Linked DNA regions of Arabidopsis thaliana. The protein of the gene in region 1 interacts with the protein of each later gene in a biochemical or structural test. Each region holds a gene or a part of one and is shown in the gene's direction. Other genes may lie near its edges. The genes, in order: ABAP1, CDT1B and CDT1A.

Evidence for each region.
Region 2: the proteins of ABAP1 (region 1) and CDT1B form a complex in vitro, tested with the Arabidopsis thaliana proteins (one study listed by BioGRID).
Region 3: the proteins of ABAP1 (region 1) and CDT1A form a complex in vitro, tested with the Arabidopsis thaliana proteins (one study listed by BioGRID).

What each region holds. Positions count from the first base shown.
Region 1 is NC_003076.8:4,137,803-4,149,403, forward strand, and holds ABAP1 (ARMADILLO BTB protein 1), read left to right. Parts: upstream 1-5,107; 5' UTR 5,108-5,155; coding exon 5,156-5,489; intron 5,490-5,729; coding exon 5,730-5,887; intron 5,888-6,055; coding exon 6,056-6,228; intron 6,229-6,308; coding exon 6,309-6,429; intron 6,430-6,504; coding exon 6,505-6,579; intron 6,580-6,658; coding exon 6,659-6,753; intron 6,754-6,854; coding exon 6,855-6,930; intron 6,931-7,071; coding exon 7,072-7,179; intron 7,180-7,302; coding exon 7,303-7,431; intron 7,432-7,525; coding exon 7,526-7,594; intron 7,595-7,673; coding exon 7,674-7,733; intron 7,734-7,817; coding exon 7,818-7,941; intron 7,942-8,030; coding exon 8,031-8,170; intron 8,171-8,257; coding exon 8,258-8,321; intron 8,322-8,405; coding exon 8,406-8,485; intron 8,486-8,561; coding exon 8,562-8,744; intron 8,745-8,836; coding exon 8,837-8,961; intron 8,962-9,050; coding exon 9,051-9,150; 3' UTR 9,151-9,338; downstream 9,339-11,601. Other genes in the region: 5-FCL (5-formyltetrahydrofolate cycloligase), read right to left, coding at 15-173, 449-583, 663-909; AT5G13070 (MSF1-like family protein), read left to right, coding at 10,414-10,701, 10,997-11,260. UniProt on the Arabidopsis thaliana protein: May act as a substrate-specific adapter of an E3 ubiquitin-protein ligase complex (CUL3-RBX1-BTB) which mediates the ubiquitination and subsequent proteasomal degradation of target proteins.
Region 2 is NC_003074.8:20,249,679-20,259,775, forward strand, and holds CDT1B (CDT1-like protein B), read left to right. Parts: upstream 1-2,133; 5' UTR 2,134-2,206; coding exon 2,207-2,352; intron 2,353-2,440; coding exon 2,441-2,560; intron 2,561-2,709; coding exon 2,710-2,941; intron 2,942-3,040; coding exon 3,041-3,673; intron 3,674-3,789; coding exon 3,790-3,946; intron 3,947-4,035; coding exon 4,036-4,126; intron 4,127-4,271; coding exon 4,272-4,353; 3' UTR 4,354-4,645; downstream 4,646-10,097. Other genes in the region: PHT1;7 (phosphate transporter 1;7), read right to left, coding at 1-392; AMP1 (Peptidase M28 family protein), read right to left, coding at 5,174-5,338, 5,419-5,559, 5,647-5,760, 5,837-5,925, 6,042-6,125, 6,228-6,315, 6,391-6,453, 6,551-6,703 and 2 more; AT3G54730 (transcription repressor), read left to right, coding at 9,581-10,097. UniProt on the Arabidopsis thaliana protein: Member of the pre-replication complex. Regulates endoreduplication. Involved in the coordination of cell and plastid division.
Region 3 is NC_003071.7:13,324,812-13,335,321, forward strand, and holds CDT1A (CDT1-like protein A), read left to right. Parts: upstream 1-4,050; 5' UTR 4,051-4,225; coding exon 4,226-4,566; intron 4,567-4,645; coding exon 4,646-4,765; intron 4,766-5,093; coding exon 5,094-5,328; intron 5,329-5,412; coding exon 5,413-6,054; intron 6,055-6,180; coding exon 6,181-6,382; intron 6,383-6,476; coding exon 6,477-6,567; intron 6,568-6,648; coding exon 6,649-6,733; 3' UTR 6,734-7,020; downstream 7,021-10,510. Other genes in the region: APG9 (autophagy 9 (APG9)), read right to left, coding at 1-57, 480-800, 902-1,482. UniProt on the Arabidopsis thaliana protein: Member of the pre-replication complex. Component of the plastid division machinery. Promotes polyloidization and regulates endoreduplication. Involved in the coordination of cell and plastid division.

The sequences.
Region 1 (11,601 bases):
AAAAAGAACACTACCATCTTCACGGTCATTCCCTTGGGCATCAACAGGAGCTGGTTCCAAAATGTTCATTGAGTTTGCAACAAGGTCTTCCATATGAGATATGTGCAACATGCGCATGTTACTGTTCTTATCCTCCACCCAAGGGACATATAGCTTTTTCTGAGTATTTGAATCTAAACAAGAACAAAATTGCAGAGAAAACTCATCAGAAAACAAATGCAGGACATATAGCTTTTTCATCCATATGCTACAATAAGTTTCTTTAGTTTGGTTAGTTATTGGTTTCTCTTGGTTCCAAAACTTATCAGATCCTTCTGTGATAGAGACACGAGCAATTTGCATTGATCATAATGAGGGATATGCTATTAAACCAAGTGATCAGTGAGTACAATGTAAAGCTTCCTTTTTTATTAATCTCGTGAGGATGAAATTACAAAGATAGATGTACCTGGATGTTGCAGAATCTCAGAGAGGATTTTAGAAGTGTCGACTTCATTGAGAGATTTGCAGCTAATGTAAGCACACAATCCCTTACATGATTTGAACCAGGGAGCTTCAAGAACAGTCTTCTGAATTGCCTCATCTACAATCAAGGCAACCTGAGATTAGTGTTGTTATTGAAAACAGAACAAAAAAAAGAAAGGACAAAAAAAAGATTGAACCTTGTTGGGTTCGGAGAGAAGGGTCCATGGCTTTTAGGGATTTGCGGACAGTGGAGCGCACGACCCGCTTCTGCTTGAAAATGGAATCGAGTTCCTCTTGGTTTTTGCTGGTGGTGCTCATGGCGACGATGGGTCTAGTAGCTGGTGATAATCTGAAAACGGGTCGGGTCGGGATCTTGGGGAAGAAGAAGATTGGTGATCTTCGTAGTGCTGTCGTGGTGATACAAAAGACGCGAGCTCCAATCATTACAAGTTCCCGTTTTTTTTTTGTTCTTTAAGAAGAAAAAAAAACTGCAGGGAAATTATTCCAAACCATAAACGACAAAATGTGAACCTAATTGCTAAAGGATTACTAATAGTTTCATAAAATGAAGACTAATGTTGTTAATCCAGTGTGGAAAAGGAATATATATGAACATTAGAACAGGAATTTAGTAAAAGTAGCCTAAACAATATCAATAGTGTAGTGTGTGGCTCATATATCCAAGCATGAAATTGCAAAATGTGCAAGCTTCAAAAGATTGTTCTTTCTCTAAACATGAAATTGTTGCTAAGTTGTATGAGAGCATTGCTAGCCTGAAATGACCATGAAAGTAAAAATGGGAAATCCATAAACTGCAGATATAATTAATCTTCCTAGAAAACATATTTCCTTAACATATCAAAAAAGCTTGTGAACAAGATTTTCTTACAAGTCACGAAACATGTGCTTGCCAAAATGTGATTCATAAAAATTTACGACTCCTCTCTACTGTATATTCTCTCAAGTAATGAACTAAAGTTTGCCAACCTTAACTTGTACATGTATTGGGCCTTTGGTTAGATTAAATGGCTTGAGGTTCTGAACTAATATTTGCCTATCTAAATTTTGTAGATATATTTGCCTCATGGGTGAATGCCAATAGCAAGGCGGGTATAGGTTGGGTGTTAACTGAAGCTCAAGGCTCATAGCTTCTCAAGGGCTCTTCCTCTATAGAGCCCATTGCTACAGCTATTGAAGCGAAGGCTAAAGCCTTAACTGAAGCAGTTCTCAACTATCATTATGTGTTTTTTTGTGGCGATTCTAGTATCATCTACAAATATCTTGAGAAAGTCATGACACAAGAAATCGCGCTACCTGGTAACAAAGAGATCCATAACTTCCTAGAAGACCTTCTAGCATTGGTGCCAAAAGATTTCAGCTTTAAATGTATTGGCAGAGATCATAATCATGTAGCTCATATATTAGCGAAAAATGCTAGAATGCCGGAAACACCATATATAATCTGCTGGGTTAACCAAAGCATGTAGCAAACTCTTCTAATATTAATAAGATATTTGGCCGTAAAAAAGTGATATATTGACATTTGGTTAGATTAAATGGGCTTAGGATCTGGTCTAAAGTTTGCGCTTTATTATTCTGATTACCTAAACACCAACGTTTGTAACAAAATTTACTCATTAACAATTACAGTACCAGTTCAAAGAGTCTATTCATTGATAGTTTAGTCGTGTTCATCTGCTGATTTTGTTAAACAATTCTCTAGATGACGACTTAATAAGAGACCAAGCTGATGTGTTAACACATCCAATTTTTGTGGTAATCGAAAATAATTTTAATAATAACACGTTGGATTTTAATAAACAATTTTTCTCGATCGTAGATTTATAGTTTAGGCATTTTGGATTCACAATTGAATAAGAACACGTATTGAGACAAATCAAATCAAAAAACCATTTAAACTGTTTTTCATATGTGACCCTTTTGAACCTTTTTTTTTAATGATCAGGTATAGGCCATACATCCCCCTAGCCTGGAACCATAAAATTTTATATCAATTAAACTATTTATATTTGTTGAGCTTTCATTTTTGAACATTGATTTTATATATTTAGTGTTAGAAGAGTTATTAATGTTCTCTTATGTTCTTGTATCATTGGATAATATTAGTATTATGAAAATGACGTGATTTAATGTGTATAAATTGTTCACTAATGAGTAATGCATAGGTAAGTATTTTTTTATTGCCGAGATAAATATTTTTTATGTTGCCAAATAAACAATAAATTAGATATCAAAATACAAAAAAAGTTAGAACAGAGTTTATAGAAAAACTTATACAAATAAGCCAACCTAGTTTTACTAGATTCAAGCTCAATAACCACACAAAGAATGAGAGTAATCTCAACAACAAGTGGAGAAGGAACAAGTTCACTATTGAGGTATAGCGCAATGTTAAGTTAATCTAAGGAGAAAATTATTGCATTGGCAATTAACATCCATGTTTATTTTGAGAAATGCAACTAATTACCATTTGTTAGATTAAAATTATAAGTAGTAAATGGCTAGGGATTTCATGATAATCCATGAATAACAATTGAGTGCATAATAGTTTTTCAAATATTTCACAAATTTGAAATTTCAGAGGAAATAAGATCTTGATTCTCATATTTGATTTCGACATTGCATCGAGGTTAGTTAGACTTCTTTTGAACTAACAATGATAAGTAGCTTGTGAATCAATGAGGCAAACGCAAAATCAACAATTGGGTAAACTAGAAATTTGTTTTATATGAATTCTATTAATAAATTTACAAAAACACGTAAAACAATCTTTGATATATTTGCAGATCTAAATTGAATATGTGATCATTAAAATCAAGATATCTGAATCCAAAACAGTTTTTCGATAAATTAAAAATTTTACCATCCGAAAACTAGATTATATTTATAAAAAAATATTCAATTTGCGCTGCAATTGGACTGGATATCAAAAGAAAATTTTCAATTTCACCATATGTGTATGATTTTTTTTTTTTTTTTTTAGCGTTTTTAACTTTTTTTTTGTGTTTTAAAGATTACTCAAATTTGCGCTCCAAGTGGAACGAGGGCGCTCCAAGTGGAACGAGGGAACAAATTTAATTTTGCCTCCTAAATGAAAACCAAATTTTAAAGAAGCTACAAATACGCTAGAATTCAGGAATCACCATATGTAATCTCCTGGGTTAACCAAAGCATGTAGCAAACTCTTCTTATATTAATAAGATATTTGGCCGTAAAGAAAAAAAGATATATTGACCTTTGGTTAGATTAAATGGGCTTATGGTTTGATCTAAAGTTTGCGGTAATCACAAATAACTTTAATAATAACACGTTGGATTTTAATAAACAATTTTTCTCCATCGTAGATTTCTAAGTTTCTAATATAGATCTTTTGGATTCACCATTGAATAAGAACACATATTCAGACAAATCAAACCAAAAACCAATTAGACTGTTTTTTCATATGTGCCTCTTTTGAACCTTTTTTCTTAAATGAACAAGTCTAGGCTATACATCCCCTAACCAGGGACCATAAAATTTTATTTCAATTAGACTATTTATCTTGTTGAGCTTTCATTTTTGAACATTGATTTTATATATTTAGTGTTAGAAGAGTTACTAATGTTCTCTTATGTTTTTGTATCATTGGATAATATCAATATTATGAAAGATGACGTGATTGAATGTGTACAAATTGTACTAATGAGTATTGCCTAAGTAAACTTTTTTTTTATTGTCGATGTAAGTATTTTTTATATTGACAGATAAACAACAAATTAAATATCAAAATAATAAAAAATGTTAGAAAAGAGTTTATAGAAAAACTTATACCAATAAGTCAACCTAGCGTTACTAGATTCAAGCTCATTAGCAACATAAAGAATGGGAGCAATCTCAACAACAAGCGAAAAAGAAACAAGTCCACTTTTGAGGTAAAAGAATTTCATAATAATCCATGAAAATAACAATTGAATACATCATAGTTTTCAAATATTTCGCAAATTTGAAATTTCAGAGCAAATTTGAAACACACAGCAACAACAAAAAAAAGATTTTGGTTCTCATATTTGATTTTGACATTACATCGAGGTTAGTTAGACTTCTTTTAGACTAACAATGATAAATAACTTGTGAATTAAATGCAAGATCAACAGTTAGATGAACTAGAAATTTGGCATGAAACCATCAAAAAGAGATACTTAACTATATCAATAAAACGTGTTGATTACGTTATCATCTAGTTTATATGAATTCTATTAATAAATTAACAAAACATGGAAATTTTTTTTTTGATATATTTGTAGATCTATATTGAATATGTGATCATTAAAATCAAGATATCCCAATCCAAAACAATTTTTGGATGAATTAAAAAGTTAATTATCCAAAAGTTAGATTATATTTTTTAGAAAATATATTAAAATTTGTGCTAGGACAATATATCAAAAATAAAATTTTAATTTCACCATATGTGTAGGATTTTTATTTTTAGTTTAGCCTTTTTATTAGTGTTTTAATGAGAAAATAATTTAAAAATCTTTTTGACCAAAAATAACAAAAAAAATGGAAGAAAATAATAAATTCCCTCTGAGTGGAAGGAGGGAAATTTGGCTCCCAAATGAAAAACTAAATTTCAAAACCCCGCCAAATAGGCTTTGGTATTATAAAGAAAACGCTCTCTCCACTCCTGATGATAATCTCAAAATCGTTCAAAGCACCGCTCAAATTCTCCGTCAAATCTTCTACTGCGCCGGTGATATCAAACCATCCGCCAATGGAGAACCATCCCAAGCGCCAGCGAACAACACGCCTCGCCGCCAGAAACTTGAAGCGAAAACTCAGTCACAACACAGATGGAGCGCCAATCGTCACACAACTTATTGATATTGACGACGAACCCATAGATCTCGTCGTCGCGATTCGCCGTCACGTCGAGGTTCTTAACTCCAGCTTCTCAGATCCTGATTTTGATCACGAAGCTGTCAAAGAAGCTGCTGCTGATATCGCCGATTTGGCTAAAATCGGTACCGTACTTCTTCATTTTACCTCTAATCGGCGGCTAAAACTGAAAACGTGTTACTCTCTTTGCTTGTTCGTCCTTGAGTTGCTCAATTTTGAGTCAATTCTCGACAACGGATTCACTCTAATTTTGGATTCTACATAGAAATTGTTTTGTTCTTGCCCATAGTACTTTGATTTTCAGTAAGGCGAGACCTAGAAGTGTTTTTTTTTGGCTTAATTGATTTTCTCATCTGTTTATATAGATGAAAATGTTGAAATCATCGTGGAAAATGGAGCGATCCCTGCTTTGGTGAGATATCTGGAATCCCCTTTGGTAGTTTGTGGCAATGTTCCCAAATCTTGCGAGCACAAGCTAGAGAAAGATTGTGCTCTTGCTCTTGGACTTATTGCTGCGATTCAGGTAACCCTTCTTTCGCTGTTTTTGATGAAATTGTGGATGAGATGTTGTGTAATTTCAATCTCTGTTGGAAGTTAACATTAGAATTTTTGAAATGGGCGATTTGCAACTATCTTAGATGTACTTAGCTTGGATTGATGTATATTGATATTAGCTTTCTCTGTTAAATAGCCTGGTTACCAGCAGCTTATTGTGGATGCTGGAGCCATAGTTCCCACCGTGAAGTTGTTGAAGAGACGTGGGGAATGTGGTGAATGCATGTTTGCTAATGCTGTTATTAGGAGAGCCGCTGATATAATTACTAACATTGCTCATGACAATCCAAGGATTAAAACAAATATAAGGTACTAATATCTCATGATCCTTACTGGTTATGGTGATGACTAGCTGTTTTCACTTGACACCTTTTAAAAATGCTTTACAGGGTTGAAGGTGGCATTGCACCACTTGTTGAGCTTCTCAATTTTCCGGATGTTAAAGTACAGAGGGCTGCGGCAGGGGCCTTGCGAACAGTTTCATTTAGAAACGACGAGAACAAGAGTCAAGTATGTTTTTACTATGATTATGTTTTGTTTAGGCTTATGAAAGGCATGATTCTCACATAATGCGCAACTATGTAGATTGTGGAGTTGAATGCTTTACCCACACTTGTATTGATGCTTCAATCACAAGATTCTACCGTTCACGGGGAAGCGGTTAGTTCTTCATCTTGCTTTAGATCGTTGCAATTGGTTTGATTTGTTCAGTTCTTTCTAATGTACTATGGACTTTCAGATTGGGGCAATTGGAAATCTTGTCCACTCATCTCCTGACATCAAGAAAGAGGTTATCCGTGCTGGTGCCTTACAACCAGTAATTGGTCTACTTAGGTATGCTTATTTTACTTTCTTTCTACTTCTGCTGGAACAGATGCTAGCTCTTGAAATTTTGAATTATGTTTTGTAACTGTTTTTCATGATATCTGCTACAGCTCCACTTGTTTGGAAACACAGAGAGAAGCAGCATTATTAATAGGTCAATTTGCTGCGCCTGATTCAGATTGCAAGGTATGGGATTGTCTCTTTCTTGTTGTACTATAATATTAGCACATGTTATGTTCACTCAAACTCGTTTTTTTCTACGATATAACTGAATGGATTCTAACTAGAGAGAACATATTTAACATAACTGGCAACATGATCATGCAGGTGCACATTGCCCAGAGAGGTGCCATTACACCACTGATTAAGATGCTTGAATCATCAGATGAGCAGGTCGTGGAAATGTCAGCTTTTGCTCTTGGTCGTTTGGCTCAGGTATATATGTTTTTGAATTAGCATGTGAATGTTTTGTTGCTTTTAATATCTGACTCTTTGTAGATGATTGTTAAATCAGACCTTTTGTGATAAAACAAAAATTGTATGTTTTGAATGTTGCAGGACGCACACAATCAAGCTGGCATTGCACATAGAGGAGGCATCATCTCACTACTAAATCTTCTTGATGTGAAAACGGGGTCTGTGCAACACAATGCTGCCTTTGCTTTGTATGGCCTTGCAGATAACGAGGTAAACTCGACTCGCAATGAATAGTATTATATGTAGCTATACTCTTTGCTTACTTGACATACCGTGAGTACTTAATTAATTTTCCCGTCAATAGGAAAACGTAGCAGATTTCATAAAGGCTGGAGGTATTCAAAAGCTTCAAGATGACAACTTTACTGTCCAAGTATGCATTTGACTGCTTATATTTGCAAAACCAATCTAATAAGAATTTCAAACTTTAATTGTAAGTAATCTATTTGCAGCCGACTAGAGATTGTGTGGTTCGGACATTGAAGAGGCTGCAGAACAAGATTCACGGACCTGTGAGTACCTACTTCTGTTAGAACTTCTGGGTCTCAATTATGTTTTGCGATGTTTCTAATCCCCTGATGTCTCAACCTTCTTAGGTACTAAACCAATTATTGTACCTAATGAGAACCGCTGAGAAGACAGTACAAATACGAATTGCTCTGGCTCTTGCACATCTTTGTGACCCTAAAGATGGAAAATTAATCTTTATTGATAACAATGGTAAGCATCTCATATATTCAGAATTTCATTTTCTAATAAAATTTTCTGTGGTTTTTTGTTTCTGATCTATTGAAGTATTACTTATGCAGGAGTAGAGTTTTTGTTGGAACTTCTCTATTTCTCAAGCAATAAGCAGCAGAGATATAGTTCAAGTGCTTTATACGAGTTAGCTAAAAAAGCTACATCCTTTGCACCAGAGGATTCAGCTCCTTGTTCACCCACACAACAGGTAAAAAAATCTCCATTTCTTCTTTCAAGCATCAAATAATTTGTGATTTGAGGTCTTGACTTGTTGTTATTGATTATTATACTGAAGGTGTTTCTGGGTGAAAAATTCGTGAACAACCCCACTATGTCCGATGTCACATTCCTAATTGATGGTATAACATTTAACCCCATTTATGATTCTATAGAATCCACCGGTGAGAACATTCTTTAATGAGTATATCCATGTCCTATGTTAGGTAAACAATTCTATGCACACAAGATTGGCTTGGTAGCTTCCTCTGATATATTTCGTGCAATGTTTGATGGTCTTTACAAGGTAAGCTACTGAATCACGATTGTGGTAACTTATCTCATCAGAATATCATCTAACTAACTTTGAGAACTGGATATAGGAACGCAATGCTCAAAATGTGGAGATACCAAATATAAGATGGGAAGTGTTTGAGCTTATGATGAAGTTCATTTACTCAGGAAGAATTAACATCGCCAAACATTTGGCAAAAGATCTGCTTGTAGCAGCTGATCAATATCTTCTCGAAGGTCTCAAACGTCAATGTGAATACACCATTGCACAGGTAACAAACGTAAAACCAAGGTCTTAATTTTTCTGCACAGAAGGACTAATCTCTCTTGTGTGTTTTTAATAAGATGGACTTTACTTGTGCAGGAAATCTGTCTGGATAACATACCAGAGATGTATGAGTTAGCAGATACATTCAATGCTTCAGCCTTAAGAAGAGCTTGCACGCTCTTTGTTCTTGAGCATTTCACTAAGCTCAGCTCTCAATTATGGTATGCAAAATCATTACATCGTTATAATTTTTTTGGGAAATTTAACTTCTATTTCACTCATCAAGTTTCGATTGATTTACCTAATGCAGGTTTGCAAAGTTTGTCAAGCAAATTATACCTGAAATTCGGAGTTACATGACTGATATTCTCACACGGCCGGTCGAAGCTAGTCCCCCAACCGTCGTATAAAACATATAGGATTCCGGTTTGAAGTAGTTGATTTACTTTACTTAGGTAAAATTGTTTTTCTTTTGATAACCGGTCTGTATTTTGTTACTGCTATATCTCTAATATAAACTGCTTAACTCAATAATACCAAAGAGGCTCTCAAACATAGCTTATAAAATGACTTTTTTTACAAATGGCTGAGAACATCAGACTACAAAATACAAATGGTCGAGAAAACATGGCTCTAAAGCGGCATAGAAAGTTGCTTAGGAAAAATCAAACTCAAAATGTGTAACATTAACTGCAACATGAATACTTCTTGTTACCTTCAGATCTTGAATGCCTTGAAACAGTAACACAAATGTCTGGTTTTTGTCCCTTGTGTTGAAAATGTTTGAACCAAACTTAACAAAAACCACATTGGACATCCATGCTTTTGCCTAATCCTTTTTTTGCTGCATGCATTTGCATAATTTGCATAATCTAAGAAAATTAGTATAATTACTATGTATATAAGAAAATGAGAAAAACATTTAAGGAAAAAAAGTCACAGAGTATGACAATAAATTATGAGTTTTTCAACACAATTAAAGCCCAATAATGAATGAGGTCTCTGAATAGGGCTTAATAAAGGCCCAAAAACTAGTGCCGTCTACGAGAGAGACTGAGAGAGAGAAACATCGTGGTTCGTAAACATAAGCCGCAAGTCTCTCTCTATAAACACCGCCATTGATTAGCTTCCTCTCTATTTTTACTCTCGTCACGTCCTCCACTTTTGGGTCATTATTACTTCTCGAAGCTCACCAAGATCTTGAATTTGCCGACCTCTCAAGGTACTTCTCTCCTCCCAATTTCCACAATCTCCTTTAAATCTCGATTAGCAATCGAGTCAACTGTTAAATTACGTTTCTTTGTTCTTCTGTTTCCTTCAATTTTGTTAGCACAGTACCAAAAACTGCCATTCTTCTTTCGTGTTTCTTAAGTGCGTTTTGATTCACGCCGATGTCGGAATCGTTGAAGAATATTCCCGAATTTGAAATTAGAATTTCCGTAATTAGATCAATTTTATTTACGAAATCAATGTTTAAATTCTCCAAATTGTTAGTGTTCTTCGTCTTTGTTTGTTGAAATTTATCAATCCTCATAGCTAAAAACAATGTTTTGCAGACCAAATCATGTGGTTAGATCCTTATCTGAGAAATCTTTTATTTGTTGTAGTAAAATATCTCGTTTACACTTTCACCTATTCACACAAAACATTCATGATTTGGGTTTAGATTCTTGATGGTAAAAGCATACAGACAAGAGCATGTTTACAAGCATCCGTGGGAGCGGGTGAGTGCTGCTTCATGGAGGAAGTTTGCAGACCCTGAAAACAAACGCATCCTTTCTCACATCCTTGAAGTCGATACCTTGAACAGGAAACTCGACACTGAGACCGGGAAACTCCACACCACGCGTGCTCTCACCATCCATGCTCCTGGTCCATGGTTTCTCCATAGGATCATTGGTCAGGACATCTGTCACTGTGTTGAATCAACAGTTGTAGATGGCAAATCACGTTCTATGCAGGTATCATCGGCTTTTCTCTATGCTCTGATTGGGATAGAGTATTTATTAGTAGATACAAGGCGTAAACAACCGTTGATGAGTGATTAGATTAGCTTATATAGCAACCAAGGATTTGTTCTAGTAAGAAGTTGCCTAATTTGTAAGATAAGGAACTTGTTTTAGTTTGCTGTGATCTGTTTCATTGGAACTTGATTAGCATGCCATGAAGTATCTCTTAGTAGTTGGAAGTCATAAACAACAATCCATAGATGAGTGTTTGGATTAGCTAAGATGTCTCAACTATTTCGTTTTCCAGCTAACAACAAAGAACATTAGTCTCAAAAAGTTCATTGAAGTGGAGGAGAGGATAAGATATGATCCGCATCCAGATAATCCATCAGCCTGGACTGTTTGTAGCCAGGAGACAAGCATTCGGATCAAACCCTTGTCGGCTCTGGCCTCAATGGCTGAGAAGGTTGAACAGAAGTGCGCAGAGAAATTCATGCAGAATAGCGCTAAAGGAAGAGAGGTTATGGAGAGGATTTGTAAGTATATGGAAGCAGAATCCGCTCGGATCTAAAGATCAAAACTTCTTAGATTCCAGTATCTTCTTGGTTTGTGATTCTTGAATGTTTTGTAAGTCAAGAGAGCTACGTTTTTGGAGCATGGTTATAATAAGTTTATGAAACAGTTTAGATCAAATTGGTGTTTGTTTCAGTAACTCCTGTTTTGTGTTAGCAACTGAAAGTTGAATTGTGAAGCTTTTATCCAAATTTTTGAATCCAAATCCAAACGGTTTGCATCTTGATATTGATAATAAAGATTTCAGGCTCAATTACATACATTTACACGAAGATGGTTGGTTACATGCAAAAAAGACACTGGATTACTCAAGAACTGATGCGACGGTGCTGAAGAACA
Region 2 (10,097 bases), on another chromosome or scaffold:
CATAGTGTAGTCATCACTGTTTTTGGGTTACTCCCAAAGGATAGACCCGAAGCGATGGAACAAAGAACCATGACCATGAGGGTCATACCGTAAACTTTTTTCCTCCCAAGCTTGTCACCGAGCCAGCCAAAGAAGAGCTGGCCTGCGAGTGTACCGCAGAAGGCGACTCCATTAACAGCGGCTGAGACGTTTGGTGGCAGCGTTCCTGGCTTCTCTGAGCCGTCCACGTGATAGTAAATACGGCCAAGAAGCTTTGTGACGAGTGAGATACAAAAAAGGTCGTAAGCGTCGGTGAAGAATCCCATTCCGGCGATTATAATCGCCGTGAAATGGTACCATTGCGTTTTGGCGACGTCGAGTGCGTTTAGCACGTTTAGTTGATCTCCTGCCATTGCTCTCTTTCTCTTTTCCTCTGCGTTAATATTAAGTAACACATATTAAGTAATCAGTATCAAATTCATATACATAAGCTGGTTTCAGACACGTTTTATATGCAGAAAATAAACTATAGTAAAATTTTAATCTATAATCATCAAAAAGGTTTAAAAACTCGTCAAATTCATCAATTTTTATATCTTTTTGGCGTAAGTATTTGTAAAGGTTGACTTGACGCGTGGGAAATGAAAAACGGGACACGAAGTAAGATGGTGACGCACACCGACAAAAGATTTGATCATATTCCATAATGTACAGTTCAATGACAGTCAAAACTTTCCTTTAAATCACAAAATATTTCAGACCACTTATCTTGTTTTTGTTCCAAGAATGTGCCAAAATAAACTGATCCAAGAAAGAAAGTTGTAAACGAATTAAGTTTCAATCTCAGAACTTCAACAACAAAAAAGCTGTATAATCATAGTTTACTGAACAATTTTGTAAAAGACGATTTGAGTTTTAGCTTCCACATACATATTGTCGTCTATCAAAACATTGATCAGGTATCATAGAAAATGTTTCTTAGGAAACTACTCTATTTAATAGACATAACACAAACACATGCTACACAACAGACACAAAAGCTATATAATTTATAAACAACACTAACCAGACGCTTGCATAACCTCATTTCTCATTCAACAACAAGTCATAATAAAAGTTAATAAAAGATTCAATAGCACATAGTTATGAAGAAGACATTAACTTACAGAAAGTTTTTTTTGTTTTTTTGCTTACTTTCTCGCAAACAATCTCTAATATGGGATTGTCTTAAAGAAAGAAAAAAGAAGAAGAAGAGAAGAGTATTAGTTTGTTTGTTTGTTGTTTCTTCAGAAACTGTAAGAGAGAAAGAAAGAAGAAATGGTGTTGTGAAAATGAAAAAGAGGCAGCGTCGGGAACGGCTACTTATACGTAATCATATTTCTGTTTTTGTTTTGACATATTCTTGTGGTATATTCTTCTGACAACGACGTCGCTTTTATTTCTTCTATTTGACTACTTCTCCTCCACCTTATTTTTACTTCTTTTAGGAGACACTATTGGTTCTGTTTTGCTGTTAATTTTTTTTCTGTTTTGGAAATTGTTTTACTGTCTATTCGAATTCTTAAGACTTACGGTTACAAGAAGTCGTTTTTAAGTAATAATTTCGAATATTCTTTGGGGAAAAAATAAGATTCAGACTTCAGACACATGATGAGCTGTTATTTTTATTTTTTTGGTAATAAGTGCAGAATTTGCAAGATATTATTTTGCCATAAAGAGTAGAAAATTGGAAATTGATTCGTTTTAACCCCAGTCTTCTGTGTTTTCTTACATACATTATTTTGTATAACCGTTTTTTAAAAACGTTGAATTTCCCAGAAGTATTTGTAAATATAGTAAAATTCATATTATAAACTAAAGAAGAAAATGATGACAAAATAATAAATAAATTCAGTGAAATTTAAAATAAAAATGTAAAAAAACTTTAACACTTTAAAAATTCAGTGTTATTTGACACAAAATCTTCTATCAATAGGAATACAAATTGTTTTTTTTTCTTTGATCGTTCATAAAACGACGTAGTACCAATTTATGGTTAAGAAAAATAGCGGGAACCAACGTTTAGAATCGGTTTGAGTGACGTGGCAAATATGGGCCCACAGCTATAGATTGCCTTCTTCTTCTTCCACCTCTTGACCCTTCCTTTAATGAGAGCTCAAAACCCTAATTTCTATTAGCCGTTACGCTCTCTAACTTCACATCACTTCCCTAATCTCTCTTTTCAGCAATGAGCTCGTCGTCTAAAATTGATTCAGAGAAGCCAGTTATGGTTTCCGAGTCACTATTTTCTACCAAGACTCCTATCAAAACCGTTAAAAGGCAGATCTTTTCTTCGTCCCCAAAACCTGAATCTGTTATAAAATTGCCCGAAAGGTGAGATTGATTGATTGATTTGTTCATACACTTTTCTCAAATTTGGACTATTCTTTCAATTTTGTTGATTTTTTTATTGGCATTACAGGTTCGAGATTTTGGAGGAATTTTTCAATGGTTTGGATACTGCAATTAGGCTGCTTAAATTAAAGGGTTCGTCAACGACATACGCTAATATATGTCCCAAGATCGAGTATCTTACTAATCGGTAAAGTCATTGACTTTCACGCTTCTTGTTTAAACGGATTCTGTTGAATCTTGAGAGTTTAAAGGATTAAACTTTTTGATGCATATGATCAATCGTGTGTGTGTGTGTGTTGTTTGATTGTATTTGCTTAATGTTGTTTGGGTCTACAGGATCTTCTCGTATGATCATTTGGCTCAGATGAAGCATATTTATCCGGAAGCTATTGAACTAAAGAGAGTTTTGAAGTTTGTTGAAGACACTTGTTGTATGAAACCTAGGCTTCATATTAAATTAAATACCGATGCAATTGTAGTTGAGGATACCATTTGTGGAACTAAATACATGGAACTTAGAAAGGTGTTTCACTCAAAGCTTGTAGATTTTCGCAAAGCTCATCCTAAGGTACATTATTAGGCTTATCTAATCTATTAATTAGTTGTAGCTTTTTGAATAATGCTTTTATATCTGATGGATTCTCCATCTATTGTTTTCTGTATGCAGGACGAAATTCCGAAAGAACTGCTTCCTGAACCATTCAATTCTCCTCAAAGGGATAGTTATTCAGGTATAGTAAGCGTAGGCTTAGGAGAACCTAAACTTGAAGTTGGAGGGTTTGATGTTCATATGGAGGAGATAGAGCAAGAAGAACAAGATGTTAACAAAGTCATTCCTGATTCTACTTTGTCACACATAGAATCAAGAATAGTTGAAACCCCAGTCAAAGATTTATCCACTCCCTCCAAAGACTTGTCCACGCCAATCCGGCTCATGAGTGCTACACCGACGTTGCAGCTATCTAAAAGATGTATTGAGTTGACTCCAGAGGGTGGTGATGATAACTCTCTTAGATCAACAAATAGTCTAGCAAGGGGTCCATCTCGCAGTCTGAATTTTGATACTTTTGAGGAAGATGCAATTGAGAAAGATGATATTGGTAACGAATCTGATGATAAAGGAATCAACTATGAAGAAGATGGCCTTCTCCAGTCAGTAAAAGGTCCATCTCGCAGTTTGAATTTTGACACTCTTGAGGAAGAAACAATTGTGAAAGATGACATTAGTAACGAATCTGGTGATGAAAAAAGCAACTATGAAGGTGATAATGCTTCTGATGATGATAGCCTCCTTCAGTCAGTAAGTGATGCTTTTTCCTGCAACAATTTTGCTTTCACATTGTTTCCGGATATATTCGTTTTCAGTTGCAAACAGACATCCTTACTTACCATTGTGTGTGTGTTTGTGTCTTGCAGATGATAGAGAGACCAAAGACTGAACCCGAGAAGCACAATTTGCCACAGCTTGTTAATTTGATTCATAGAGTGTTTCACTCAACAAATCGGACAGTCATCACGAAGGAGGAGCTTCTTTACAAGATTATTGCAAACCAAATCAATATAACTGATAGAAGTAGGGACAGTTAATATTGAATGTTTGATAATTTCCCTGCCTTTTCTTCCTTGACAGGCTCACAGTTTCTTTCTTACTTGCATTGCCAGGGGAAGTGGAAGAACAATTAAGTCTGATGTTGCAATTGGTCCCGGATTGGATATCTGAAACAAAAGCATCTTCTGGGGATCTTCTTGTTCGGTGAGTATGTTCCACCAAAAATGATTATGATTTTCTTTATTTGGCTCTAAGTTTCACAAATGAAACAAAAAAATACATTTTGTATTGAAAATATCTAATTTGCTTCTTGAGGCTCTAATACTGGTATATCTTTTGCTTTTTGCAGCATCAATAAAATGTCGACTGCCGAAACAGTACGTGCAAGACTTGAAGAAGCAACTTCACATGACATTTCACTTATCTACTGAAAAACCATAAAACTGAAACTTTTTTTTGTGTTTTCATCCTCTTCACCAATTCAGTTATCATTATTCTTCACAAATATCTTCTTTCTAAGCTGGTCCAACCTATAAACTTGTAACATTCGTTTTACATAATTCGAGAATAATCAGGAGACAAAACACCATTTGATGATTATTAATTCTACTACATGCAGAAGAACTGTATTTGTTGTTAACTGTGGTCTGTGGATACCAATTTAAGAAGCTCTTGCTACAGAGAAAAATGTGTAAGACTCAGATTGAGAATAAGGTTTGGCAAAGGAACAAGATTCGCTAGGTCTTCGTCGAATCGACAAATTTTGAAAAGAGTAGTACTAAAGCAAAAGAACAAAACCAAAGGGAAACACAGTCATCACTCTCCAATCATATGACATCTTAGAAGATAGATTGAGAAGTGTTTGAATGTAAAGGTAAATGAACCATACACTTTTGAAAGAAAAGATTCTAGCTCATCTTAAAATAATTAGATTGTTAAAAGGATTAAACATTTGAAACCGAAAAGCATACTCTAAAAATAAAGATAGTGATTGTTCTTTCTTTCTATATTACTCGAAGAAAGTATTTGTCCTTTGCAATGATGTTTAAGATGTTGATATCATACCCAAGGTTACAGTATAAATTAGTTTTATTAACCCAAAAAAAGAATTAAAAAAAAATGTTAGTCTTGAATATGATTAGATTATAGTGTTTGTTTCATAAATGGTTATGAAAATTAGTTCATAAGACGTTATTCTTCTACAATCTATAGTCACAATATATACACAAAAGAGAACTCTTTCAGATTTTCTCATGTGAAACCTCCTTTAAGAGCTTTGCTTGCTCTCTGAATCGCTCTTGCGACTCTCCATATCTCGTGCTCAATTATTCCCTCTGATGCGTTCATCGCAATGGCATCTGCTATTCCCGGGAAGAATCCTAGCTTGCTCTCTGGCTCAGCCGCCGGTCCATACACCTATGCATAAAACACAAACAAGGTCTCATGAGGTTTGCAAAATTGGTGAAAATCTGACTGAATAAAAAAGTTTTACTCACAAGATGCTTGAACCATTCCTTCCCTTTGATCCCTTCTGCATCCAAAAACCCTCTTTCTACAAGCATCAACCTGTCATTTAGCTCTCTTCTCTTCGCCGCTGCTGCTACATCATTTTTGCTATATGATTTTCCCTTTAACTTCTGCAAATCAATCACCAAAACATGTATAGGTGAGACAAAGAAGCAAAAGATTGAGGTTATACGTTAATTAGCAAAACCATTAGAAACCTTTGCTTCATCTGCGGCTTCTTTGGCAACCAAAGAGAACTCTTGTATCGCCATGCTTAAGGGATTTACAGAGACTTTCCCTTCTAAGAGCTTGCTCAGTTTATCTCTATGTGCCTGAATCATTACACAAAACATAAACTCAGTTTTCCTACTATTCTACGTATAAAAGGTGTGAGTAAAAGAAATCTACCTGCAATTGGTCTGCATAAGAGATGTAATCGAATGGTATGAGTGGCTCATCAGCCAAGAGAATTCCTAAAAGTCCCCAAATTCCAGCCACTGATAAATATAGAAAGCAAAGAAGAGAGAGTGAATTCTCTTCATAACATCCATGAAAAACAGAACAAATAACTAAAAGATAATAATAGATCAAAAGAGAGAAGTGAAATCTTTACTAGCAACATGACGGTGAAACAATGGATCTGCGTTGTGGATCATCCAATCATAGGAGTCAAATGCAGTGTGATAGACAGGATAATCTGAAAGAAAGGATAAACAACATACATTATTGGTATTACTTGCATTAAAACATCACATTATAGAATATTTTGCAAGACTTAAGGAATCATGTTCTCATTGACCTGCTCCATAGTACATGTCTATAGACGGTATCCCGGCATGATGAAGAAAACCGGAAAAATCAGAATCTACTCTACTTAGCCTCTGAATCTGCAGTTCATTAAAACATTACATAGTTTTACATTACAAAGACAATGTATGAGCTCTTTTGAATAGTCTACTCACAATGTTATTTTGAGACTTAAATGTCTCTTCCACTGTCAAGCCTACTGCATCAGGATCCTGTACCTGACCACGCATAGATGAATACGAGAGACTAAGACATTTCCTACGAGTATAAGTTTTCAACAACGCTTGAGAATGCCCCGGTTATTAGTATTCTTACCAGCTTCAAGACATCGACAAGAAGACCGTCTAATTGAGGAGTTGCACCAGCAAAAAAACCAGAGCCTTGGACTGCACAATCTACATTAAGATAAGCAACAGCACTTGCACCTAAGTTAAGAACATTTTCTTCAATCCATTCAGTTGATCCAATCTATACAACAAAAAAGAGAACACAAGTAATTTAGTGAAGCATCATATATAGATTCAACTTTTCGAAGTTACTAATTTACTAACCATTCCAAATTCTTCTGCATCCCAACTACAAAGGAGAATGGTCCTACGTGGTCTCCAACCAGATTTAAGCAAAAGAGCAAATCGTCGACTAATGTCAAGTAAAGCAGAAGTTCCACTGTTTGGATCAACAGCTCCATATGTCCATGCATCTCTATGGTTCCCAAGTATCACATACCTATCCGCTTCTTCACTCCCTCTTATTGTAACCACAACATTGTTAATTTTCTTCATTTTCATCTCCCCCTACAATTTAAAGAAGTAACACACACAAGAAGTAACGAAAATTAATCACATAATTAAGAAATATAACGGAAAATTACAAAAGTCAAACCAAAGAAAACATAACGGAAATGCAAAATTCTAGTTAACTAACCTGAAACGTCATGTTAATAACCATCCGTCCAGGGCCAACCCGTTGACCCGGTCCGACACGACCCGAATTCCGCCACTCCAACGGAGCTCTAGCACCGCCCAGAGAAGCCAAAATGATCTCAGCATTACGAAGAGACAAAGGCAAAGATGGGATTTTGGGAAATCTCCGAGTGACCAATTCGTCATCCAAGCTCAGTTTTTCTCCTCCGACAACTCCGGGCCAACCCGGGCTAACCGGATCTCCGATTCCTCTCATAACCGTACCTCTCTCAATCCCGCCAAATCCACCACCGTCATTCTCGGCGTATATTAGCACTCCCAGCGCACCTTTAGCTTCTGCTATTTTCACAATTGCTCCTCTTCCCAAGTTTTCACCTTTCCTCGCTAAAACCACACACCCTTTAACGCTCACACCAATAGACTCAAGCGCATGATAGTCTCTCTCCTCGCCGTGATTCACGAAAACCACGTTACCTTGCGCCGACCCAGATGGAGAATAAGCGTGGTAAGGCCTAACGACCGGAGAGTCTCCGGGAACGTCGTTTAAGTCAAACTCAAGAGTCGTCGTGTTGCTAAAACTTGCCGTGACGGAGATGTGCGTAGGATAAGATAAGAGAGCTTCGTATTCGGCGACATGGGTCTCAAGTCCGAGGCTTTGGAAATGGTTAAAGACGTAGTGAAGTGTGTCTAAAGAGGGTTTAGTTCCGGCGAGGTGAGGATGACGGGTCAATTCACGGAGGTAAGAGGAGATGGTGGCGTTAGAAGCAGAGGAGAGGAAGAGGCGGCGGAGACGAAGGGCATTATAGGCATTTCGAGAAAATAGAAGAGGAGGAGTAACGGCGTCTGGATGATGGAGAGTGTAGAAAGTGGCGACGAAAAGAACGATGACGAAGAGGAAAGAACAGAGAGGCGGCGGTTGTCGGAAAGGGATTATAGATATTCCGGTAACGGTGGGTCTGGTGGTGAGAGGTTGTGACATTGCAGAGAGAGAGAGAGAGTAAATTGTTTTAGTAAGTATAGTGGCTGATGAGCCAAAGTATTTATTATGAAATAATCTTCAGTCTCATTTTTACGTTTTTGTCTTCTTTGTCTTTATGAGTATTTTTGTCTTGGTCAAAACTCTGTTTATTAATCTCTTTTTCATCAACCTCCGAGAAATAATAACAAAGACTAATTCTTTGTGTAATTACGAGAAACTAGAATTTCAACAGAGTCAGCAATCTAAGAAACTAGAATTTGAAAACCTTTTTCCCCCACTAAATTACTGAGCTTAGTGGAATGATGAAAAGCTGCGATATTGACGAACCAAAAATGAAAATGTGTATTGTTTGATTGAGTAGTAGTGGGTGGCCAAAATACTATTTTTCTTCGTTTGAGTATCATTTTCAGTTTGTTTTAATTCGTTTTTATATCACTCGATGATGTATTGGGTCGTATTTGACATATTCCATTTTAGATTTATCATAATTAAACATTAGCATATCACTCGATCGTGATATATATTCTCCATTGTGATTATCATATGTTTTCCCTCATTGTCATTAATTATTTAAAGTGAAGGCAGCGTTGAAGGACAAGAGGAGACACGAGACTGAGAACGGTGTTGGGACTTGGGACATCGAGATCGATAATTTTATCAATCTCGTGGAGGTATCCTCCAAACATGAATTTAATTATTTTTCGTCCAAAGCTATATATATATATGCATGCATTGATGAACTTCAAGTCCAGAACTTGTTACGTTTCGTTTTGCATGATGTACACATATCCAGTTTTTTTGAAGAAAATAGAATTGGATTTACATTAGAAACTACCAACTATTTGAACAAATGATGAGCACGCAATAAAAATGATAACCATGAAAAGCTTTTGTCTTTATGCATTTGATTCATTTGGTCGGACCTATTGTCTGTATGCATACTTACATAATAGTACATTATAATCCACTCAGAATTGACTAGAAAGAAAAAAAATGCTTTATAAAAAAATGGAATTATCTCTTATCTATTTTTATTATTCACTATAGATTTTTTGTTGTCGCCTAATTCAATACAGACTATAATTTGTTCAAATGACCCAAATAAAAATTTTGGTTTGTCAGTTTTGGTTCCTTCTATGTTTTAGGGACACAGATAAACTTTAGCAGGAGTATCTAAGTATAACCCCATCCATAAGATAATTTACATCTAGTCGTCGCCTATGCTCCATATATTTTCACTATGAAAATAAGATCTTAAATTTTTTAAATGTACTTCTTCTCAAAAGAGTGGGAATTTCATGGAATGATTGAGGTAATTATAAAAAAATCCTTTTTCTCTCTCAACTTGACGACTAGGGTTTCTTCTTCTCCTTGCCGCCGTTGGTGTGGCCTCTCGCCCACCGGCGAGAATCTTCCTCTTTCTCCCTCCTCTTCCTTTCTTCTATGGCTTTAGTGATGCTTGCTCGGGCTCCTGCTCCACCTTTGCTCCTCCCTTCTCCGAATCCGCCGCCGTGTGCTCTACCGCAAGATTTGACCAGTTTGGTCTCTCCTTCTGAACCTCCCGACCCTCCAGACCCACCAGACTATCTCGTTGGAGCTTCCAACTCCTTTCTCTCGATTTTGTTGTTGAGGTCTTCAGATCTAGGATCAGATCTTGTTCAGGCTTTGAGCCCTCTAGATCTGGGTTTTGCTTTACGATCTATTACTGCTGTGTGCAGTTCGTGGTACCAAGTATTTCCTCTCGCTTGTTTGGAGCTTTGGTTCTCTATTCCACACCTCTCTCATCCTCTAGTCACTCTATCAAAAGGTTTTGTCTCTCTGAAAGGTAGTAATTTCTTTGAATTTTTTACCTTCTTTTGGAACATGCCTTCGTTTATACTTCAGTTCCCTCACCATGAGGATGTGATGATTTCTACTAGTTTTAGGCTGGTTTTACCTCAGTATGAGGCTGTTATGATCT
Region 3 (10,510 bases), on another chromosome or scaffold:
AGTCGTTTCTTCAGTGTTGTAGGATTTGAAACAAAGTCCCTTCTAACACGAAAATTGCTGCAGAATGAAAACGCCTGAATTAGACAAAACGGACAATTCTTAGCATGTGCAAGGAATTTTTCATTCTATGGCCTTACTCTTCACCGTAGTACTAGTAGTTAACTACGAATATGAAATATAACATACACGCACTTCGGCCACTCCCATGTAGGTTCTAACAGGACAATCTTATTAACTTACGCAATTTTTCACTGACGTAATATATATACAGGGAGAAAACCTCTAACAGGACAATCTTATTAACTTGAAAAGATCACTACAATCTGACCAAGAAAAAGCAAATCATCAAAACTGAAACTTCCATATGCATCACAAACTCTCCATTTATCACTATAGCAGTTCATAAAATCCTATATCTACAATGTTATTAGAAAGCAGTTTTCAGATTAGATCAAAGATTAGCGTGGAGAATAGCATACCAGTCAAACATGCTCTGCAATATGCACCAGTTAAGGGTCCACTCAAGGGTCTTTGTCAATACAAGGTGATACTGTGTCCCATCTGGTGCGGATTTGACTGCTGGACCAGCACCAGGGATCCAATGGGAAATTGGGAAAGAAAGCAAACCTTTGTTGAGCATTCCAATCAAGTAGTTTTCTTTCCGCATAAGGCGCATAACCATATCATGAGCAGAAAGATCCTTAACCACACAAAGGCATTGTGAGCTTTGTAACTGAACAACCTTCTCAAGGACTGTTGCCCATGGCATAGTAAGGATTTCATTGTCTGTGACATGGAGACTGCAAATTTACAACAAAAAGAAAGAAAATCAATTATGACCTAAAATGCATGTTTTGCTCTAGCAATAACTATTCATAGCATGTTGCAACTTCCAACTTACTTGTTGTAATAAAAGTGCCGAAAGTCCAAAGTATCTTTCAACTGGGCAAAAAACCTTAAGAAGCAGAAGAGCCAGTACACAGAGAAGAGGGCCAAATATCCAACAATTATAGCAGTTGTGAGCGTGAAAGGGGATAAAGGATGCGGATGGATAGCTTCTTTGACAAGATCACATGGTTTAGTTCCTGATTCAACTGCATCCATTCCACATTTTGCATTCTGAAGACCATTCCAATCAACATACAGCAAGAAAAACCCAGAGAAGCATATGATGAAGCCCAGACTTAGAAGCTCAACAGCCCACTTTACTATAATACACCAAAGTCCTTTGTCTCTGTAGTAGCTGTAGAGCCTTTCGACAAAAAGATCCAAATCAGCAATTGGTTGAACATTTAAACTCTCTCCATTAAGAAGTCCCGATGGGCTCTCACTACCAGGACTTGGTATTCCTCCGTAGTTAGATAGCTCAATCTCGTGTGACTCATTATGAAGCAATCCAGTAGTCAAAGACGATGATGATTCACCACGTTGCCATTTAAAAAAGTTACGTACATTTGGACCCTTATGCCCACTGCTCATCATTTGTAAACACAGACGATTGGCCAAAACAGCCGGTCCATTCCCTGCTTACCACGCGGAAATTTGAAGAAAGTGTAGTGCGCAATGAGAATGCAACTACAAATCCTGCATCAAACATGAATAACATAAAGCATCCACAATGCAAATCACCTAATGACAGAGATAATTTATGTATGCAAACAAAAAAGTGCCACTAAAATGTTCAAGCTAGAAGCACATACAATGAATATACTAACCAATGAGACACTAAGGCAAATCAAATCCTTAAACGCAGAAAGACAAACCAAGGATACGGAACTCGTGGCATAACCTGCTAAAGAAATGTTTCTATATCTGTTTTCCACCATGATGGATATAAACCAGACCCACCTATCCTTTGCTTGACACTCAAAAGACTATTCGATTTCAAACACTTCCTTTCTTTTTCAACAATAGCATTCATGCACAAGCAGAATCTTTGGACAATGCACTAAATGCCTAGCACTCTGATGACAATTGATGGTGCAGAGAAAGCGAAGACGAAGTAATCTATACTCAATCAAGAGGCTGACACAAGATTCACGCAACCTTTGCACAACCAATAGACCTTGATCAAAGTCAATTACCTAAAACCAACTCTATTTTTCACAAGAAGACGAAGCAAAAACGGCGAATTCCTTCCCAATAGAACAAGGGGTTTATCTACTTTTAACAGGGAAATGATCAGGAGCAATACGATTCTAAATTGAAACCTCAAAAACCCTTAAGCTAACACTATAATCTCCTCCAACCTTAAATCACAGTGCGATTAATCAAAAAAAATCAACCTTTCTCGATAACAGCAGATGAGAAAATCAAAACTTACCAGAGACCCACGAAAGGAACAGCAATTAGAAAGCGAAGGTCTATAAGCAGCTAGGAAGATATAATTGTCTTAATATCCGAAGCTTTAGAGAAGGAGGAATCAAATACAGAGGCTATGGGCAATGGAAAATTCGATGAAGAAGTTGAAAAGACAAGAATTTGATCGACGAATTTAGGGGAGAAAAGCAAAAGAAGAAGACGAAGAGAATTGGGTTTGCGTGGAAGAAAAGAGGAGTGATAAAATATTGATGCTTTGGAGTTTGGAGTACTAGTTTTCAATTTTCGATTTGGGCTTTTCTTCTTCCTCTTCTCTTCTCTTCTCTTCTATACAACATTACTTAACCAAAGAAACGTGATCACGAGTTCTCTTCCTCTTCTATGATTTTGGTTTTACTTTGATCTTTGGTTAAAAAGGTAATCTAACATTTATTAGCTTGAATCCAAAAAAGTCTTTGCACACACAAAAAAAAAAGTCTTGAAGCCAAAAAATTGTAATTTTTCTTTAATGTGATATATTGAATTTTATTTTAACAACTTGTATAATGGGCCGATTGTTTTGAGTGGGCACCGGCCCAGATTCTAAACAGACCCAAAAAAACAATAGTTAAGATGTACATTATATTACTAACTTTAAAATTGAGTTTTGAAAATATGATAGTGAGTCAGTTGACATAAATTTTGGATCTAGATCAGATTCTTGGTATCAAGATCAATATTTAGTCTCAGAGCATAATATAATACAAATTGATACATCTAGCTCCTTTAATTTTTTAAATGTTAATCAAAAATAAAAACTCATGAAAGTTATAATTATTTTATAACGGCATTATATTTTTTTTTGTCAACTAGACGATAAACCGATAAAAGAAATAAAAATTGGTATTTATTATTATAATCATCAAAACTTCATATATTGACATAAAACAACAAATTTAAATAAGAGTATATAGAGAAATAATAATATCGGAAAGTATAACATTTAATAAAAAGAAAAGTTGAAGTTTTGTTAGTAAGAAAATAGTAGTAATGACAATTGAAAAGAATCTCATAATCATTGAAAATTTATTGAATTCTTTGATTTAGAATAGGGATGTGGTAATATTCAATGTTTAATATTTATGTGTTTTCTTTTAATAATCAATATTTATTTCATGATTTTATATAGATTTCCTCATTAGCAAATATAATATAAAATAAAATGGAAACGACGAACCTTAATAAGAAAAAGTTCAAGTATATACAGAAATAACAATACCGGAAAAATATAACATTTAATAGACAAATAAAATTAAAGTTTTGTTAGTAAAATATTAGAAATGACAATAGAAAAAATATCATAATCATTTAAAAACTGTTTAATTCTATGATTTAAAATAAGGATGTGGTAAATATATTCAAAGTTTAGAAAGAGAAACATAGAAAACATAAACTAAACCATTGATTATATTTGATTTGCTGGGCTAACTGTTTTATCTTAATATTTTACTGTTGATAAGATTCCTTATGATGAGATTATCTTTGATTTTTCAAAAAAACTATAAATACTGAACAAGCAGCATAAACATTGCACGACGACCTTATATAAATCATGTTCATATAAAAAAAATCACAAGTTGAAAAAAAGAAATCTGGTCTCTTTGGTTTGCATCTATTAGATTCGTTCAGAGACAGCAATTCATAATGGGCCTAATTAATGGGCTTCTTCGTAGATAAGTGTTTTCGCGGGAAGCAACGGGTTAATAGGCGCGGGAGGTATACGTGGCTTTGGTACACGTAGGATTGCGCGCCAAAGACCTAAATAAATCTAAACCCTTCTTCTTCTTCCGTCGTCTTCATCGTCTTCATCTATCTCCTCCACTATCTCCTCTCTGCATCTGACACTCTATAGACATTGTTGATAAAAATGAGTACACCAGGCTCTTCTAGATCCATTCCATTCAAATCGAAGAAACGATTGGTGATGGATTCGCCGTCTTCGAAATCTCAAACCGGGAATCCAAATCCGTCTTCTGTAGCATTGCCTACGCCGGAAAAACCACTTGAGAACATGCTTAGTAGATCGAGAAACCGATCTGTGGCTTTATCAGTGAAAGAAATTCGTCAAGCCGCTGGATCTCGTCGCAGATCTGAAGATCCGGTTGCTTCATCTGCCAAAAGCAGGCTCTTTTTCGATTCATCATCATCTTCTCCTTCAAAACGTAAAAGCTCTAACAAAAATGCAGAGAAAGAGAAACTTCCGGAGAAGTAAGTTTTAATCTCTAGGGTTTATAAAAAGTTTCAATTTTTTCCCCTTTTTAACTGATTAGGATTTGGATTTGTGCAGGTACGAGAATCTGGGAAAGTTCTTTGAAGCATTGGATAATTCGATGTTGTTATCGAAATTAAGAGGTTCTAAGCCAACATTCTCCAACATTTCTAAACAAATCGAGCATTTAACCGAGAGGTAGTCTTCCTGACATTTCAATTTGAATCGTGTTTGTGATTGTCACTGATTGGATCTGATCTGAATAAATAAGCCAAATTTGGTTATTGCCTTTAAACTTTATAGAGTCGATAAGACAAATTAATAATCTAGATCGTGTTTATGGGATCTGATCTGAATAAATAAACCATTTTGATCTTTGCTTTTTATACTTTATAGGTTCGATGAGACAAAAGAATACTTTAGATCTGGGTTTTATAGATTTCTCCGATAACTTTTCTAGATTTTAGATATTCACGAGTCTGTTTCTGGTGTGTTTATATAATTCTTGTGTGGATGTATATTTCAGGAGGTTTTGTTATAGTCACTTGGCTCAAATAAAGCATATATTGCCTGAAGCGATTGAGATTAAGAGAGTATTGATACATGATGAAACTACTTGCTGTATGAAACCGGACCTTCATGTTACGCTCAATGCCGATGCTGTTGAATACAACGACAAGTCGAAATCGGAAAGTAAGAAAATCGCTCTTCGGAAAGTGTTTCGGGCTAGACTTGCGGATTTTGTTAAAGCTCACCCTCAGGTATAATGCCCTATCTATTTTAGTGATTTTGGAAGTTGCATTGTGATTTTATTCAAGTACTAATGGTGTTATTCTCTGTTTTAGGGTGATGAAGTTCCAGAGGAACCGCTTCCTGAGCCCTTCAATAGAAGGAAACCAGTTGAAAACTCAAATGTTGAAGTCAAGCGTGTTAGTTCTCTCATGGAAGAGATGGCTTCTATTCCAGCATCTAAATTGTTTTCATCTCCCATCACATCAACGCCAGTCAAAACAACTTCAAGTCTGGCTAAACCAACTTCGTCTCAGATTAACATTGCTCCAACTCCAACCAAACCAACTTCAACTCCTGCTAAACAGACTTTGTCTGAGATTAATATATTGCCAACTCCAGTCAAACCAGTGTCAACTCTGGCTAAGTTTCCTTCAACACCGGCGATTATTGACTCAACACCAGTCATTACTGCAACTCCACCTGAATTTGCTTCAACTCCTGCCCGGCTGATGAGTACTTCTCTGGCAGCTCGTCCGCTGAAAAGAAGCAACGGTCATACAAATCCAGATGATATTTCTGCTGACCCACCGACTAAGCTCGTGAGGCGTTCCTTGTCTCTGAACTTTGATTCTTATCCTGAGGATGAGAGAACTATGGATTTCACAGATGATATACCCATTGATCAAGTACCAGAAGAAGATGTATCCAGCGATGATGAAATACTCAGCATACTTCCTGATAAACTTCGACATGCGGTAATACATCTCTATTAGTGATTCCTTTTCTTCTCGTAATTTTGCTTTATACTTTTCAGTTTGAGATTAAGAAGTACAAACTGAGATTGGCTTTACTTACTGAGATTGTTTTTTTGCTCATTTCAGATAAAAGAACAAGAGAGGAAAGCGATTGAGGATCAAAATCCAGCAATCTCTCTGGCAAAAAGAAGGCGAAAGATGATCGCTTGTCTACCTAAACTTTTCAATGTCATCCATTACTTAATTCAATCGATAAGGCGTTGGGTTATCACAAAAGAAGAGCTTGTGCACAAGATCATTGCCGGTCACTCTGATATTACTGACAGAAGTAAGCCCTCTAACCACTAAGTATCTCATTATTACTTTTCTTTACATTGTTTGAAAACCATCCTAACTGTTCTTGCCTCACTTACATTTTTCAGAGGAAGTTGAAGAACAACTAATCTTACTGCAAGAAATTGTCCCTGAATGGATGTCTGAGAAAAAATCATCAAGTGGAGATGTTCTAGTATGGTGAGTCTAATATCTCACATATACTCAACTCACTTTTTCTTGGTTTTATGGATCGCTCATGTAAGCAACTTTAATATGCAGCATAAACAAGTTGGCATCTCCTCTAACAATCCGATCACGTCTTGAAGAAGAAAACAAGCAAGAGATGGCTCCACTGCTTTCTTGAGATCGTGGTTCCATCGGCTGCGGTTACTTTGGGTTCTAACTTATTTTTGGACTGCCAAATATGTTATAGTCTATTCATGAGACAGATGTGTAGAGACTACTAAGTTATAAAGTTCCTAAGTAAAGTAAAAGGGTGAAAACAAGTAGATGACAAACTATTTAGGAAGGTGTTTTCATCTTTTTCTGAATTATGACAATGAGGTTATTTCTCTATCAATAAAGAGTAATTTTATGCATTTTGTAACAGAATTCTTTATAGAACAAGACTATAAGGACCGTTGTTGTGTGAAGTATGGAAAGAGATCAGATTTAATCTCCCAACCATGACATATCTAAATCCTTGATGACAATTCTCTTTCTGATTATGTCCCTTTATATTTGATTAAATCCGTTAGACATTTTCATATATGTTAGGCAAATAACCAGTTCCTTTGGATCTAAGTTTAATTTCTCAAGCCACTTTAATACTCCTCTTAGTTCCTCTACCGAAGTTCCAAAGGGTCATTGGCCATTTGGGACTTCGGTTCCGTGAATTAGAAGAAAATTTCTGGTATATTGTGAACCCAATGTTCAATAATATTCAATTTCACAGCTTAAAAATATATTGGTTTATTTGCACAAGAGAAAAAGACAGAATGAAAAAAGAGAGAGAGGTGTGTTTCTGAGAGCATCATTTGGGCCTACTGGGCTTTCACAAAGAAAATCGCGCGAAGTATTAACGGACGGAATTCGGCGGGAGTCCACGTGGCACCATCACAAGTCGGATTCGCGCCAAATAACCTAAAATAAATACTAAACCCTTCATCATCATCATCGTCGTGTCCGATCTCGCTCCTCCACTCTCTCATAAATACTGAGTCTTTTTATCATTAATAGATACATTTTTGTATCAGAAAAGCTTAATAGAACATTGCTAACATATTTCAATCCTAGAAATGATACTTCTCTTTCTAATTATGTTATGTAATTGAAGGAACCTTTGCTGCATTCTCCTTAATCCGTTGAGACTATTTCCTAAATTCCTAAGTGATAATATTAGGACTGTCAATAATTTTTGTTTCAATAGATTTGTATATTGACGACTAATGATTATTGAGTTTCTAGATTAGCAATTAATTCAAGCTATATTGTCACTATTAACAACTATAGGCCGGTCATCTTTATTGACTCTCTAGTCATCTTGTCACAACTTACAAAGCTTCTTCATTTTACTTTATCCATATGCCATCAATACACACGATTTACATCTCTACTATATAATAACCTATGGTAAATGAAATAAGTGAAACTAAAAACAAAAACAACAGATTAAAAAGAGAGCCATCTAAATAATGCATCAAGAAATAAAACTGGAGGATATCACTTTGGTAGTGAGGTAGGTTATGATTTTTCATGGCCATTCCAATGAGCCAAAAAGAATACATCAGAAGAAGAAGAAAAAATGGAATTTTGTATTGAGTGAGATTTCTCTTTTTTTTTTGTTTTCTTTATAAGGACAATAATTATTAGATTCCTTAGATCTTGTATGGACCACAAGTAGTCCCATCATACATTCCTAAGTCTCATTGTTTTCCTTTGAAAAAGCCTTTCCCAAACAGTAATATACTGTACTATATAACAAAAGTATTTTATTAAAGAAGAAAAAATAGAGAGATAAGTTATAAATTAAAATCTCCAAAAAAGAAAAATAAAAAAAAGAGAGACCTTTGCCACTCTTTTAAGCAATTTCTGACCCAATTCCCTTTTTGGAGAAACCTTCAAAACCCTACCTTTGGAATCTATTTTTTAAGATTCGTTTATTTTCTTTCTGGTAAAAAGAATATGGATATCTCACCTTCATTTTATTTCTCTTTGCTATTTTAGAAAAATTAAATTATATTATCTTTGCAGAAATTTAAGTTTTTCTTCTTCTTCTGTAAACTATGTGATATACATATAATTCTTAAACATATGCTTTGGTATTCAGTATTTTACAAAACCAATAGTTAATTTACTATAAAAAAAATTTGAGAGTTTAGTAGAAAAAAATTCGTTTAACTTTACTTTTTTATGAAAATCTAAAATAGATATTCTGTTATAATTGTAACTAATAATAATAAGTTCAAAATGCTACAAAAATGTTTTTGAAAGGGTTCCAAAACCATGCATGTCCATATGGTAAAATATATGTCATACATAGCTAGTCATGTGAGTTCGAAATTACGAAACATTTATTATTGTCAATAACTTTATTATATTGACTCAAATAAGCCAATGCAGAGGAAATTAAGAAGTCTTGTGAAGTATGTTTTTTTTTATAAATAGTATATTGAACATAATTGTTGGGGAAAAAAAAAACAGAATAACAAATCACTTCAAACCAAATGTATTTTTAATTCATAACTAAAAAATAATTAAAAGAATTATTTGCATGGCTTATCAGTTACGGACCAAGTCATTATAGTTCAAACGTTGTCCACTAAAACATATTATCAAAAGCTCTTTCATTTGAAAGACATTGAAACAATTTGATACAGGCATGCTTTGTTCTAATTAATGCCAACTTTCGGAAACATATAGAAATCTATTAGTATAATTATCGGTGGAATAGAAATTTATGAATAATCGACAAAAGTGCAACTGTCTCCCTTTTTTTAAATGTGACTTTTAAAGATAGCTCAGTAATTGTTAAATGTCAAAATATAAACATATTAAAAACAAAGAACTTGCAAAATTTAGGATGATATTGGCTTAAAGGAAATAATCATTAACAGAAGGTAACGACTTCATGAAAACATCTTTAGTTATCTCAAATCTCAATGACTTACTTCAAAGGCGACGATGTCATGAATATTTATTTAACCAAAAATTCTCCATGTATATGTAAGCTAATGGTACAATTTATGTTCAGCTTTCTCTATTCGTGTGTAATCTTAAAACATTGTTTTGAATAATTTTATAATATTTAGAGTTTTAAATTGAAAATTTCTGAAATAAAGTAGGAAAAAAGAATGATTAAAAATGAAGGATAATATATTTATATGGATTATTAATTGAATTACAGCTAAACAAGTTAACAGATAAAAATGATGAAAAGGGGAAAATAGATGTTGAGTTGGTGCGTTGCATTAGAACACATTGATGGAAACAAGTCATGAGAGCATATAATAAGAGCCTCCAGATAGAATATTATGAGCTATCAATTGTAAAACATCATCATTTTTTAATTTCTAAGTGGAACCCAAATCTGATATACATATTTCAAAATACTCTCAACCCTTGGGGTTTTGATGAACTTACCAAATGGTCGACAGAAAACACTTGTGAATTGTTGAGATAAATGTATTTACAAAGATCATCTTTGTAAATGTCAACATCTTAAAAAAAAACTTGGACTAGGAATTGTTTTAGGCCGTCAATTCGAGCCTAACAATTGTTGTTTTTGTTCTTGTTTTTGCAAAGTAATTTTACACTTGAAAAATATCGTTACAAACTATTCACAAATAGTTTAAAATTAGAGATGTTACAATCTAGATTTTAGTTAGTTTTAAAATTTAAAAAGTTACGATTTAAAATATTTTGTATCTATCTAAAACATGTTACCGAGTGGTATAATGTGGTTTGATGCGATTTCAATTTTGGTTATAATTTAACTACCTATCTTTATGTTTCTAAAAAAGTGTTGGTTTGGTATTTTACTTCTTTGGTTTGGATCAGATTCTGTCTCGGTTTATTAAATGACAAAAATAGAGAAAATAGTCAAATTAAGGTTTTGTTTGCTTGTAGAATCAGTTGTTTT